Linked DNA regions of Callithrix jacchus. The protein of the gene in region 1 interacts with the protein of each later gene in a pairwise test. Links are inferred from orthologs where the notes say so. Each region holds a gene or a part of one and is shown in the gene's direction. Other genes may lie near its edges.

Region 1 (3,635 bases):
CTTAGGATAATGGCCTCCAGCTGCATTCATGTTGCTGCAGAGGATATGATTTTGTTCTTTTTTATGGCTGCATAGTATTCCATGGTGTGTATGTACCACATTTTCCTTATCTCATTTACCATTGATGGGCACCTGGTTTGATTCCATATCTTTGCTGTTGTGAATAGTGCTGCAGTGAACTTGTGAGTGTAGGTGTCTTTTTGGTAGAGCAGTTTATTTTCCTTTGGGTAGATAGCCAGTAATGGGATTGCTGGTTCAAATGGTGATTCAATTTTTAGTTTTAAAGCTTTGTAATATTCTACCCTGTTTCTATTATATAGCCTTTTTTCTTCTGTGCAGGACTATTGCAATATCTATAGCTTTTTAGTCAGTCTCTGTGATTAATATTTAGGTTGTTTCCAGTATTTAGCCATTTTAAAATAATGTTGCAGTGATGAATAACCTTGTGCATAGATTATTTCACATTTTGTCACTATAGTTTGGGACATATTCCTAGAAGTGGGATTCCTAGGTCAAAGGGCAAGTGCATCTACATTTTTTCTAGATATTGTCAGATTCCCCCAAAGAGGTTTTTGTATTTTGCATTCCCAGCAAAATACAATCAGCAACGAAGATTGCTGTACCATGTGTTTATCAATTGTGAATTTGTTCCTAGCATTTAGAAATGGAGAGATTCTACTTAAAAATCCTATTTCCAGTGTGTTTAAAACACAAACAAACAGAGAATCTGGCAGTGGTACGCCTTAATCTAAATATGGCAACAGTTGGCTAGAACGGAATAATAGCTGCCCCTTTTCCGGGAAAGGTACTCTCTAGGTTACTGTGACCCCCACTTGGCCATTTTACTTACTTTTGCTGCCTATCAGTCCCCTACAGACATGAGATTTTGACCCCTGCTTCTGAGTATGATTGTCTGGGTAGGTAGAATAGAAACAGAGAATTTAGAACTTGAAGACATAGAAGACAGTTTAGATCATGTTAGAAGAGCCACCAGTGTGAATGTTGATGACCCTAAAGAGTAGTGCCAGGGAGTATGACAAGGGGATATTAGGAACCCAGGATTGGAGTCCTCGAGGAAAGTACATGTCCTAGAGGTCCCTGGAACACTATCTGAAAAAGGAGGCATATTTTTTTGGCTGTCATGATCCTATACCACAGAGATTTTGTGAAGACAGCAGTAGAGCGGGTCTGGAAAGGTCCAGGGGCTAGAAGCAGGGAGTGTGCTAAATCCCACCCAGTGTACTCTTCCTGCCTTCCCCCATGTACTGAGAGACTGGGAAAGGTGGGGAATGGGAAAAGGAGCAGCTGTTTATGTTCAGTTTAACATTCTCTGAGTTTCTTCATCTAGGTCTTGAGTCCATTCTCTTCTGTTGTTTTGGCTTCCCTGTTTAACCTGCTCCCTGTTTCAGGAGAGAAGCCTCATCAGTGCCAAGTCTGTGGGAAGACCTTCTCTCAGAGTGGAAGCAGGAATGTGCATATGAGAAAGCATCACTTGCAGCTGGGAGCAGCTGGGAGTCAAGAGCAGGAGCCACCTGGTGAGGAGGGTGGGTGTAGTAGAGGGCTATCCCTTCTAGGGTTCAAAGAGCCAAATCACTGTCCTGCCTGGTTATCTGGAAATTTTTTGATTCTGTTTTGGGTAGATAGACCTGGTCTCATTTGATGGGCTGATGGTTTCCAAACATAGCTATACAGTAGAATCATCTGCAAGCTTTTAAAATTTATATATTTTTTTGTTGCTTGTCCCCCCCCACCAATAAAACAAAGCAATCTCATAAATGAGATAATTTGCAAGATCCCAGAATCTGTAGTTTTAAAAGTTCCCGTAGTAAGTTTGATGGTAACTAGTGCTGATCCATGAACGAGGATTTCAGTAACACAGTGACAAAAGATTTCTGTATGGCAAAAGTTTAAGCTTTTTTTTTTTAGATGGAGTCTTACTCTGTCACCCAGGCTAGAGTGCAGTGGCGCCATCTCAGCTTACTGCAACCTCCGCCTTCTGGGTTCAGGATTCTTCTGCCTCAGCCTCCTGAGTAGCTGGGATTACAGCCAGGTGCCACCACACCTGGCTAATTTTTGTATTTTCGTAGAGATGGGGTTTCATCATGTTGGCCAGGCTGGAAGCATTTTCTGCTTACCAGTTGTGACTACCTTTTTGCCCTGTCTGAAATTTGACAACTTTTTAATTCTTATTCCTTTGCCATTAATTGTCTTATTCCTTTCCTTAATTGTTCCAAATATTCCTTTCTAAAGGTCCGCCTATCCTGTCTCATATACTAATTCTTCAGATGCTGAAAACAAGCAAGGGTCATTAGGCTTATTACTCTTTCCCTTCTAGGTTTATTCTTGTTTCTCGAAAGTAGGTGAAATAAGAGGTGGCATCCAATACATAGGTTAACTTCTAGTAATGAAAGAGAAGTCCAGCTTCCCGTTGAAAGAAAATGAGGACCAGGCACAGCCTTGACTGCTGTATGTCTCTCACAACCTATTCTCTGTGCAGCTGAGCCACTAATGGGCAGTAGTTTGCTTGAAGAGGCTTCAGTACCCAGTAAAAACCTGGTGTCTATGAATTCCCAGCCCAGCCTTGGTGGAGAGTCCTTGAACCTACCAAATACCAATTCTATCCTGGGAGTTGATGATGGTAAGACTTCCACCTCTCCTTTATTTGGGAAAAATGGGCTGCAACTAGGGGCTAAGGAATGGGGTGTCTCCACAGTGGAGGTTTAAATCTCATTTCTTATGAATAGCTGTGGTATGATTGAGTAGCATTTGTGTTCTTATTCTCTGGGGTGGATAAGTGAGTCTGTTTAAAAAAATTTTTTTTCATTGAAGATAATATAACAAAGAATAAAAAGAAAAAATCTTAAGAAAAAATTATTCATAATCCTAGCATCCTAGCACAACTATTTCTATCTTTCCTATTGCAGTTATGGAAGAACTTAACTTTTAAAACATTTAAACAGAACATAACCAGGTTTTACAGAGGAGATATAAAGCAATTTCTCCATACCTTCAAAAGCCATATCTTCTGGAGAAAAGAAAGGGCTCTCTAGGAAACACTTGCTCCTCTCTGGTATAGAAATTTCACCCAAGTTACACAGGCCAGGCCCTCTTCTCTGAAAAACTTAACAGGTGAGGTCAGCATGCATTTATTCAGTGCCTACTGTGTGCCTGGCACCATGGGAAAGACAAAAGTAGAAGCTAGGGACCTTAATATCCAGTTGAGAAGTGAAAGCTTACATATATATGGGAAACAACATTGAGTACATAAAAGGCAGTATATAGTGAACATTAAATTATATGGTACAGTATAAAAGAGTTATATCAGCTAGAAAACCCCTAGAAGAAACTTTTGATTTTCTGAGGGCTAAGTGGTATATCCTTAAAATATTTCTAGATTTTCATGGTGATCCCACTGATGAACATTTAGTAACTGTGAGATCTTGTGTTTTGCTCTTCATATCATTTTCAGTCAGTGAGTGCTATCAGTGTCATTGGTTCATACCATATTCAGTCAGTGAGTGCTGTCATTATCATTGGTGACTGCTTTAAGGGTGGCTTTGGTTCCCTGACCTGCTTGCCTAAGCAGCTTTTGCCCCGTTTCATACATAGTTTTAATTCAGTTAACAGTGCTAATA
Region 2 (4,155 bases), on another chromosome or scaffold:
CAAAATCAGGATCCAGTGAAGGATCACGTGCTAATTTGGTTGTAATGAAGAAATTACATACTATATTTTATTCTGGGATATTCCCCCACCCGAATCCTTTTTTTGTGTGTGTGAGACAGAGTCTCACTCTGTCATCCAGACTAGAGTGCAGTGGCACAATCTTGGCTAACTGCTACCTCTGCCTCCTGGGTTCAAGTGGTTCTCCTGCCTTATACTCCTGAGTAGCTGGGATTACAGGCACATGCCACCACGACCAGCTGATTTATTTTGTAGTTTTAGTAGAGACGGGGTTTCGCCATGTTGCCCAGGCGGGTTTCCAACTCTTGACCTCAGGTGATCCATCTGCCTTGGCCTCCCAAAGTGCTGGAATTATAGGCGTGAGCCACCACACTCAGCCCCAAACCATTTTTTATCTTTTCTTGACATTGAATTTCTGGCAAAATAGCCCAGTCGTGCTGTAGAGTGTCCCACATTCTGGATTTGTCTGACTGTGTTTAATTTGTTCCTCTCTATTGCCAGTAAACTGGAGGCTGAATCTAAAGGCCTGGGGAGATTCTGCTTATGCAGTGAACTGGGAGACTCCACAGGGTATGTCCTAATTCTTATTAATGTACTTCCTAATCCTAATGCATTATGGTAGGTGGCACCCAGTGTCCCGCCATTGGTAATGCAGAATTTCATTACATGATTAAGATTATGAGGGCTACATCATAAAAGGATTTCATCCTTTGCAGTTAGCAAATAACCTTTGAGATGATGCTTTAGAGCCTGTCAGGACCCTATCTCTAGACTGTGCTCTTATAGATACCATCCTATTTAAACTTTGCTGTGAAGAGGTAGGCAAGACTATCCTTATTTAACTTCGTGTAGCTTGGAGAGGTCGATCAGTTTTCCAAGGTCACAAATCTACTGAGTGGTGAATCCGGAGTCGGAATTTGAACCCGGGCATATCTGTAGTGTAGACCCCTGTCGGGGCGTGATGTGTAAGAACCTTAATTGCCATATTTGGCAGGTGCATGGGTAGTTGTGAGGGGCTCGTACTTTGAGAGGCAAAAGGCCCACCCGCCACCATTCCCCAGGGTAAAAAGCCACCTCTTTTCACCCTTCACTAGAGCAGCTGCCCGGGCATGCGCCCTGAAGCCAACCTCCCCTCCTTCAGAATCCGCCCCCTACAGGCTCCGCCCATCACCGTCCAGAGCCAATCCCTGGGGCGAAGGGAGGGGCAGCCACGAGAGTGGGCGTCGCTAAGGTTAGTTAGGAGTCTGGAGTCGTGCGCTCGAGTCAGAACTGCGTCTTGCGATCCAGGTGCCGGTTGCTGGAGGAGAGTGAGCAAGCGATGCTGCTGCCGCCGTTTCCTGATTGGCTGTGGATGGCTACCTCTTTGTTCTGATTGGCCGCTAGTGAGCAGGGTATGTAAATGAAGGGGCCTGGGGAGAGAAGGGGTGCCAGCGGCCGGGTCCTTTACGAAGTTCGATCCCTGGGTCCGACAGGTGCCCGTCTGGGCTGACCGGGATCGAGACACACGGGCCTCTATGTGCCGTCTGCCCCGGCCGGGCCGGGTGAATCACGCCGCAGCCCGAGAAGGGGGCGGAGGCGCCGGCTCCCTGGCTCCGGCTGCGTGACTCACCCGCCCCCGCCGCCGCCGCCGCTTCGGGAGGAGCCGCCTCCACTGCCGGAAGCGAGCGGAGGCCGGGCGCACAGAACAGCCCGCCGGGGGTCCCGGCTCTCACGGCCCCGGGAGGCCGGCAGGAATCACAGCCGGGAAGCGGGGCAGTAGGAGTCCTGGGGTCAGAGGGGCCAGAATCCCCGGGGGAAAGCCGGCCTGGGCACCGCTAGGGGGCGCCGGGACCCGGGGGCGGAGTCGGGGGTCGGGGGCGGAATTCCTGCGGTTCCTCACTCCTGGGACCGCGGGGAAGGGGACGGAGACCCAGTTTTGACTAGTGTGATGGTCCACTCTTAAGATCTTGCTAGGCAGGGTCCCGGGAACTGGACCCTGGACCCTTACTGGCCCAAAAAGGTAGGTAGCGCCAGGGGTCCAAAACTCCAACCCCACCCCCAGCCACTCCAAGAAGAGAGTGGGTCCTCAAACTTATCTCAGTGACTGACCCCAGTGCCCAGCACGATTTCCCGGCAAGCCCCGTCGATTCTGCCTCCCAAATAAATCGTGACTCGACCGACTTCCTTCCATACACTACCAGCTCCTCCTCCAGGCCATCACCATCGTCCGTCCCAACCGAGTACAGCTTACCAGTGGTTCTCAGATTCCCCCTCTTCCTCCCCTCCCCCCAGTCTTCCTCAAAGCAGCCATGGGGGGACGGAAACCCAGTCAGCTCACAACACCACTCCCCTCCCTGCTCAAATTCCTTTAATGACCGCCCACCACGCTCATGATAAAATACAGACTCCCTACTTCTGCATATGTGGCTTTCTGTGACCTGGCTGGTGCCCGTTTCCTCTGCTGCTCCCCAATCTGGTCTCCTACCATGTCACTCTCTGTATGCCAGGCATGCTAGTCTCTTTCAGTTCAAGCCCATCCAGCCTCTGGGTCTTTGGTTGCCTTTTTTTGTTGATCCCTCCTCCCAGAATCCTTTTCCCAGGGGGTCTCCCTTGGCTGACTTCTCTGGCCTGAGGGCTCCATTCAAATGTCACCTCCTCTCGGGAGCCTCCTCTGATCATCTGAAAGGTCTCCAGGACCTTTTAGTGTCTTCCTGTAATTCTCTGTACATTTCCTGTGTTTGCTTATTTATTTACTGTTTGAAATATATAGTAGACAATAAATATTAAACTATGTGAAACTAGTTTAGTATTTATAATTTATACATAATTACTTATAATAAACTATGTGAAACAGCTGCTTTTGTAGGGGAAAGGTGAATATTGGCCATTCCACATGGTTCACTGAAGACATTATAATGTTATCATTAAGAGTATTTATTGGTGGTCTGGGCGAGGTGGCTCACACCTGTAATCCCAGCACTTTGGGAGGCCTAGACAGGCAGATCGTGAGCGCGGTCAGGAGTTTGAGACCAGCCTGGTCAACATAGTAAAACCCTGTCTCTACTAAAAATACAAAAATTAGTGGGCGTGGTGGCGGGTGCCTGTAATCCCAGCTACTGGGGAGGCTGAGGCAAGAGAATTGTTTGAACTTGGGAGGCAGAGATTGCAGCGAGCCGAGATCTCGCCATTGTACTCCAGCCTGGACAACAAGAGAGAAAAATTGTCTCTCAAAAAAAAAAAAAAAAAAGGTGTGGCAGCTCAGTTATAATACCAGCACTTTGGGAGGCTGAGGCGGGAGGATGGCTTGAGGCAAGGAGTTTGACACCCTGAGCAACATAGTGAGACCCTGTCTCTACAAAAAATAAAAGGAGAAAGAAAAAAGAGTACTTATTGACTGACGCAGGAGGATTGCTTCAGGCTAGGAGTTTGAGACCAGCCTGGGCAACAAAGTGAGACACCATCTCTATTTTTTTAAATAAAGAAGTCCATAAATATACTTTATAAAATATAAAATACAAAATGTAAGAAGTCTATAGGCTGGGTGCGGTGGCTCACGCCTGTAATACGAGCACTTTGGAGGTCGAGGTAGGCAGATCACTTGAGGTCAGGAGTTTGAGACCAGCCTGGGCAACATGGTGAAACCCCATCTCTACCAAAAATACAAAAATTAGCCGGGCGTGGTGGCTTATAGCTACTCGGGAGGCTGAGGAACGAGAATCACTTAAACCCGTGAGGCAGAGGTTGCAGTGAGCTGAGATCATGCCATTGCACTCCAGCCTGGGCAACAGAGCGAGACTCCATCTCTTAAAAAAAAAAAAAGTCTATAAATATACATCTACAATTAAATAAAAATTGCCTATATCTTTAAAGTTCCCTAACAAAAGCTAGGCACAGAGACGCTAAGTGACTTGCCAAAGATCCTACCTGCAGCAGCTGTCAGATCCAGGCTTTGAACTTGACATTTGTTTTCCATAACTTGACTTTAACTCCCTGCTCTCTGCAGATGCTGAGCAAGGGTCTGAAGCGGAAGCGGGAGGAGGAGGAAGAGAAGGAATCTCTGGCAGTCGACGCCTTGTGGCTGGATCCTGGCCACGCAGCGGTGGCACAGGCACCTCCGGCTGCAGCCTCTAGCTCCCTCTTTGACCTCTCGGTGCTCAA

The links.
Region 2: the proteins of ZNF410 (region 1) and SERTAD1 interact in binary tests that used the Homo sapiens proteins (3 or more experiments, as listed by UniProt). The two-hybrid records come from large-scale screens. The link is inferred for Callithrix jacchus from reciprocal best matches to the Homo sapiens genes ZNF410 and SERTAD1.

Annotation. Positions count from the first base shown.
Region 1 is NC_133509.1:108,853,436-108,857,070, forward strand, and holds part of ZNF410 (zinc finger protein 410), read left to right. Parts: intron 1-1,409; coding exon 1,410-1,535; intron 1,536-2,335; exon of another isoform or gene 2,336-2,497; coding exon 2,498-2,638; intron 2,639-2,924; exon of another isoform or gene 2,925-3,129; intron 3,130-3,635. UniProt on the Homo sapiens protein: Transcription factor that binds to the sequence motif 5'-CATCCCATAATA-3', and is specifically required to silence expression of fetal hemoglobin in adult erythroid cells.
Region 2 is NC_133523.1:35,982,788-35,986,942, reverse strand, and holds the start of SERTAD1 (SERTA domain-containing protein 1), read left to right. Parts: upstream 1-1,283; 5' UTR 1,284-1,409; intron 1,410-4,000; coding exon 4,001-4,155. UniProt on the Homo sapiens protein: Acts at E2F-responsive promoters as coregulator to integrate signals provided by PHD- and/or bromodomain-containing transcription factors. Stimulates E2F1/TFDP1 transcriptional activity.